Linked DNA regions of Oryzias latipes. The protein of the gene in region 1 purifies or fractionates together with the protein of each later gene. This does not show direct contact. Links are inferred from orthologs where the notes say so. Each region holds a gene or a part of one and is shown in the gene's direction. Other genes may lie near its edges. The genes, in order: fbxo22 and lysine-specific demethylase 4B.

The links.
Region 2: the proteins of fbxo22 (region 1) and lysine-specific demethylase 4B purify together in Homo sapiens (affinity purification with western blotting; 3 studies listed by BioGRID, with this or other methods). This does not show direct contact. The link is inferred for Oryzias latipes from reciprocal best matches to the Homo sapiens genes FBXO22 and KDM4B.

The regions. Positions count from the first base shown.
Region 1 is NC_019861.2:26,481,398-26,484,076, forward strand, and holds the end of fbxo22 (F-box only protein 22), read left to right. Parts: intron 1-522; coding exon 523-675; intron 676-756; coding exon 757-922; intron 923-1,031; coding exon 1,032-1,425; 3' UTR 1,426-2,102; downstream 2,103-2,679. UniProt on the Homo sapiens protein: Substrate-recognition component of the SCF (SKP1-CUL1-F-box protein)-type E3 ubiquitin ligase complex that is implicated in the control of various cellular processes such as cell cycle control, transcriptional regulation, DNA damage repair, and apoptosis.
Region 2 is NC_019862.2:10,435,107-10,438,931, forward strand, and holds part of lysine-specific demethylase 4B, read left to right. Parts: intron 1-69; coding exon 70-326; intron 327-410; coding exon 411-604; intron 605-1,423; coding exon 1,424-1,544; intron 1,545-2,271; coding exon 2,272-2,432; intron 2,433-2,523; coding exon 2,524-2,728; intron 2,729-3,825. UniProt on the Homo sapiens protein: Histone demethylase that specifically demethylates 'Lys-9' of histone H3, thereby playing a role in histone code. Does not demethylate histone H3 'Lys-4', H3 'Lys-27', H3 'Lys-36' nor H4 'Lys-20'.

The DNA.
Region 1 (2,679 bases):
TAATGAACCACTTTGCAGAAACAATGTTGCTTTTTTTTTAAACGGTAAAATCATGTTTAACTGGGAACACGTTGAAAATTGTGGGACTTCAAGTATTTATTCTGCTGGTTTCTTGCTTTTAAGGACAATCATCTTATTTCTTTGGAACAGTTTGCTTTTTACCATCAGTATTGGTTTGTGATATTATGACCAATAACTTCTCAGATTTTGAATCAAAAACACATTTCTGTGTAGTGAACTCTGACAGTAGTGTCTCACATTTAAATGAGAAAGCAGAAAGTTGATGCATTAGTAAAACGGTTGTAACTGCACACATTTTCTGCTCTTTTGTTTTTTCTTAATTGAAAGATGTTGATTTTCATAGCAGTTCTTCCTTCCTGTGTGTGTGTTTTTTTGTTTTTTCTTCAAAAAGTGAATATTCATCGGATCTTGAGCTATGGAGAAGAATAGTTCTGAACAGGCTGTGAGCTCCAGCTCCCATACTCCCCCCTCATATGTGACGTTCTGGTCGCTTTTCTGCAGTGACTCCTACTGGCTCTTGCTCCGGCTCTCCTCAGGAGTACCAAGATGGAGAGGCTGGCTTTGCAGTCATGTTCCCCAGCACAGAGGGCGTAAACATCAAGCCCTTCCATTTTTGCAAGAAGACCATCTCCCCGACGGCCCTTAAAGATGCAGGTTAGTCACTAAAATAAGGCTATACTTTCAGCAGCTCTCTGTGTCTGTTCTTGTAATAAACATCTGCTTGTTGACTTCCAGGATTAGTTGATAACTCAGAGCTGCGTGTAGTGCTGATATTTTTTTACGAAGTCTATAAAACTGGAGGAGCTCGTTTTCTGAATCAAGTTCTGGAGCCGCTGGCCAAGACCAAGGCTCTGATCGCAGGAGGGATTGTGGAAGGTGTGTTCTCTCCTCCCAGACACTGGTGAGTTGCGAACTTATTACCAAGATTCCTTTGAAAAAGATGAATAACTACTGTTACGTAAAGAGCTGCTTTCATTTCCTGCTACTTTCCGCCATCTCCCACTCTGTAGCTGCAGCGATGGTGCATACGGCGCAGTGGGACTGGCCCTGAGTGGCCCTAAAGTCCAGGGAGCGTCTGTGCTTCTGGACCAAGATGTGAGCTGCCCAAAGACCGCGGAAGCCACTATCCGGCGTCTAAGCGCAGCCAAGATGCCAGAGAAAAATACCCTGGGGTTAATGTTTGCTTGTGTTGGGAGAGGCCAAAACTACTACAAAAATCAGCCTAACGTGGAGGCAGACGCTTTTCGCAAAGTCTTCCCCAAGACGCCGCTCTTCGGCCTTTTCGGCAACGGAGAGATCGGCTGCGATCGCATCATTAAAGATGATTACACGCTTTGCGACACAGACATGGACACCCTCCAGCACGAGTACACCACGGTCATGACCCTTGTCCATCTGGGCTGAAAGCTTTGCAGTGGTCAATAGATCCGCTAAAAGTTGAAAGTTTGCAGAAGAAATTTAACGACATGCATACTAATAATGGAGGATTTTGAACCTTCAAAGCCGAGAAGTTCCCCTTTGGAGGTTTAAAAACAGATTTTCTGGAGTGTAAAATACTGTTTGATATTTTAATTTTTTTTAGCAATATATCAGACATTCAGCGTGCATTGACAGGACTCCCTTTTCCTTAAAGGTGAGTTTATGTGTTGCCGTATTTCTCAAGCATGTGTAAAGGTTATTGATTCTTCAAAGGCACTTTTATTGTAAGTAAAAGAAACGAGTAACAGGGTAAACGTATGCATCTTTTACATTAAACAGTTTTCCCACATCTACCCTTTTAAGGGTGTGTAGGTAAACCATCCAGAATGTACCCAGTATTGTGTGACCACAGGGATAGGCCCCAGCCCCATGGAAACATTTAAGAGGGGAATGTATATCAAATGCATTTTATACATTTATGCTCCCAATAAAAGATGTCAAGCCAACTGATTAGAATTCATGGTTTCGGTTGCAGGATTGCAGGGGGAAGCTTTCCAGTGTGCTCTGTCCACATTCCAGATAATAATTTGCTGCTTATATTTATAAATGCTTGGGCTTTTTTTCATGTTGCTGTTGATAATAAACAGTTTTGGTTCAGAAAATTTGGAGAAGTTATTTTACTTTGGCTTTTTTTTTTCTTCCAAAAATGTTTTTCTTTAAAAAACAACAATCCAGGTTGTGTTTTTAATAAGGTTTGTGTTTAGATTCTCCTTTCATACTTCTTTCTTGCCTGGAATTGTGTCAAATAGCCTTTTCCTTACAAAAATAAACTTCCTAATGATCATTTTCTTGTTTGTAATTTGCCAGCTTACTGTTAATATTTGTAATGTCATTGTTAAATCTAAGTAAATTACTTTTATTAAAAAATGCAAATTAGGGCTTTAACTTTTTAATGCGAAAATTGCATCTCTGTAAAAAAAACACCTTTAAATTATTTAAAAAAAAGATTCTGACAATGTTTTTGTGAAGAATTTACATTTTTTTTTTTGCAGTTTTCTAGATATCCCAAAGTCCTTCTCTTCTATGATATGAACAATATTGATTTTTGGCTCCTTTTTAGACCGTTCAGTCCAGCTCCTCCCGGAATCTGTGCTCTCAATCCACGCAAAAACAGAAATGCAAATGCGCGTTTTTTGCGTTTTACGCGCACTGAAGCCTCAGCCAATTACTCAGTCAGTA
Region 2 (3,825 bases), on another chromosome or scaffold:
TAGTGTTCTAAAAGGCTCTTGTGTGTGATGTTGAGTTTTCTTTGACCGTCTCTCTCGGCGCCTCCCCAGAGCCATGCAAAAGATGAAAATGTTACGTCGTCTGAAGCTGGAGGAGGTGAAGGTCCTGGCAGAGGAGGGAATTTCTCTGAATGCTGCAGAGTATCAGCGCCAGGTGGAGGAACGTGAAGCTCAGCGCAAAAAGGAAAGGGAGGAGCGTTTAGCTCGAGAGGCCCTGATGACTCTGGAGGCCATGGAGCGGGAGGAGCAGGAGGCTGCTGCTAAAGCTGCAGAGACTCCAGCTGCTGACAGTGACAACAATATTAACCGTAGGAGACTGTAGTTATTATATTTTTGTTCAGACTATATAGTTAAGAAATCCTCCGTAATGACTTCAAATTCTTGTTTTAAAGCCCAAGGACAAGAAGTCCAACTACAGATCGGAACAGATGATGTTGACAAAAAGAAGCACAAAAAGCAGAAGAGGACTTCTAATGCTTTGTCTGGATTTGAAGAAGTCTTTGAGGAGTTCGCCAAATCGACCATGAAGAATTCAGCCAACATGATCAATGATTTCCCAGCAGACAATAAAGTGGATGTGACTCAGGTGAGACTCCAGAGATGAGTTATACTTTAATGTTTTTGGCTTGCAAGGGAAAACGCAACAGCTTTTTTATTTTAAAACCAATTCAAACACATAAAAATAACAATTCAGTTGGATCTTGTAATTTTTTGGATACAAATACTTGAAACTTTTCTGAATAAGATAGATAGATGGCTTGAATGCATGTTTGCACAGCTTTTACACTGACATAGGATATTAATTCCAGTGCAACTCGAATGAGATCAGACATAAAAGAAATACAGATGTACAGTTCAGAGTTGACTGAGGCTGCAGCAGTAAATTTGCTGCCTTGCTTAGGATGGGTGTGGATAGGTTGCAAATGGGGGGGGGGGGTATAGGGGCAATGGTGACAAAAAAAAGTCACATCTAAACACTGTGATACAATGCGTAGATACAAGACAAAAACTGCAGCGATTGAACACAAAAGCACATATTCACACGGTACACAAGGTTCAGTGGGTGGGAGGGTGGGTGTCCCCCTGTGTTACAATCCGAGCGCAGCTGCAAAAGAGCGCGCTAGTCATAGGAATGCCGAGGTCAAGAGGGGGGAACAGTAGCATCGGCCTTTAACATTTTCACACTCTGGAAGAGAATATCTTTTTGTTGAAGACAAGGAGTCCTCAGCTCAGGGGGGGGGGGGGGCTGATTAGATTACATTTCCCGGTCTAGCAGGTTGTTTGCTCTGCCGGCTTTGTCCTTGACTGGTCTTGCTGTTCAACATGCTGCTTCAAGTTAAATTTGTATAAAGTAAAAGGTGTTTCATAAAACCAAAGAATAACAGGAAATGACCTCTTTTATCAGACGAGCTTCTCTAAGATGAAAATGCCAACAGAGGTGAAGAAGAGTCGGCGCCACCCGCTGAGCAAGCCTCCCACTCGAACACCTCCATCTGTCGTGAAGCAGGACCCGGCCAGTGAGAAAGGTATCCCCCTTTATGTGACGTTTACAACATTTTTGTGACATTACTAGTTTTTGGTTGTAAAATAAAAAAAAAATTGGAATTGAAAGTTTTTATTTCCATTTGTCCTGTTTATCATTTTACTATAATAAGACATGTTCTATGCTGTCCTTTGAATGAATAATATGGAGGGAAAAAACAAACAGGTGATTCGACCATCACAGTGTAGAGGGTGAAATCAAGATGATGTCTCTCCCCGCTGTGTTTTTCGTTTTTTGTTTTCTGACTGACACTTATTGATCTGGAGATCATGACTTCCAATTACCTGCTTTCAAAGTCACTTTATGTTGGCAGCCGGGGACCAGACTCGGCCTGTCCTTCAGAAGGATGGATGGGGGAGAGGGGGAAGGCTGGTGGAGGAAAAACACGCTCCACTTTTTAAGGGGAAGCTTGTGAAAAAATATCCCTGACTTTAGTGAAGCAGTGTTTCAGTGACTTGAAGGCTTCACTGCCATGTCGATGTACCTGAAACAAACTATTGATTCTCTTCTGGTTCTTCATCCAATTATGTCAGAAGTGATGGTGTTACTTTCCCGGAGCGGTGCATTTTGTCACTATTTCTAGACAGGGCTCCTCTGGAGATTCGAAGCATAGATGTGTTTCAAAGGCCACATGGATTCCTGAAATTAAGATTTTGAATGACTCCAAATTGTAGATATGGGGCTTAACTGGCGTATTGTTTTGTCCACAGAGCTTTCTTCTCAAATTCGCCTTGATAGTGACATGAAGAAGCAGGAGCACCTATGGCAGAATCACTCTCCCAACTTCTTGGCAGAGAAGGCCTTCAATGCTGCTGTGGCTGCACTCCAACCTCACTGTGCCGTCTGTTCCCTCTTCTGTCCTTACGCAAAGGTAGAAACCGCAGATCTTGCAGCAGTTTCCCATTTGTCTTAAGTTCCGCCCTGTTGAGGCCTTTTCTTGTCGTTCTCCGTGACCACTCAAGCCGCAGAAAGACGGCTCAGTTGCGAATGAGGCCGCAAACGCCCCCTTCCCCCGTCACGGCAGCTGGACTCGTCCTCTGGTGCCAGAGATGTGCTTCAGTGTCGGAGCAGGAAACCCGGAGCCGCCCCCCACCAACCACCACATCAGGGAGGATGGCACCAGTCTACTGCTGCGCTGTACCTCCTGTGAAATGCAGGTTCATGCCAGTAAGTATTAGCTGCAGCAGGAAAGCTATGGAAGGCACATATACAAAAAAAGTAAGCTAAAAATTGCATTTCTAAGTATTTCTTTATTCAAACTGTTGTGCACCAGTAGCAGACAAAAAAAATGCAAAAGAAAAAGATTATATTTGTTCCGTAGAAAAATACAGTGAGCAGGGCCACAAGCTCCCTGCTCCGCTCCGTTCTGATACATCGTCTTGCAGAAGATTTGATCCATGTACGTCGTCGTTTTCTTCATCCAAGTTGGCATCTGGCTTAAAACTGTACAGATGGATAGCTCCGATTTTTTTTTCTTCAAGGCAAATTTTTAATGAACTCCTGCCACTTTGCTGAAACTGTTCTAGAAAACGACATTGTTTTTATTTTATTTTGGCTAAAAATTATATAAGCACCTTTAAATAGTTCAAAAGATGATCGAAGTGGGACTTTAAGACTGTCCATTTAAATTCACATATAGTTTAGTTTAGATTCTTTTTTTATTCGGTTTAAAAATCACTTTTTATTTAAATTGTCTTAAAATAAGCCAACACTATCTTCTATATTATTTTCTCTATTTAATATTTTATTTACAAATATCGACAGAAGATATCCATTAGATTGGATATCTTTAATTTATTTTAGTGCGTTTTAATGCTGCAAATAAAATGAAGCTAACAAAACCAATTTAATTCACAGGAAGCCGATCTGTAAAACCCACTCTAAAAACCAACTCTTCCCAAATCCGTTTGTTTGTGTGTACATGTCTAAACATGCAAAAATCTCCATAAAGGTCCAGACATTTGGACACATATGTAGAAGACAGAACATGCATCAACCCTCCTGGGTTCTTATTAGCCCCAAAGCCGGAATGCACCTTTCAGGTCGGAGAGGAGCTTGATTCAGCTGCTGAAACGACACTGCCATTCGTGAGCTGATGTGAAGCATCCAGTCTGTCCACTTAGATGGTTGTGCTCAATTGTTTAGGAATGTTCCACAAAGCTCTAAGCTTCTGGTCTCAATGTTCTTATTAAAAGAAGATATTAAAAATAAACCTGTGATGCGAAGTATATTTTAGGTTATTTAATGGAAGAAATCTATTCATG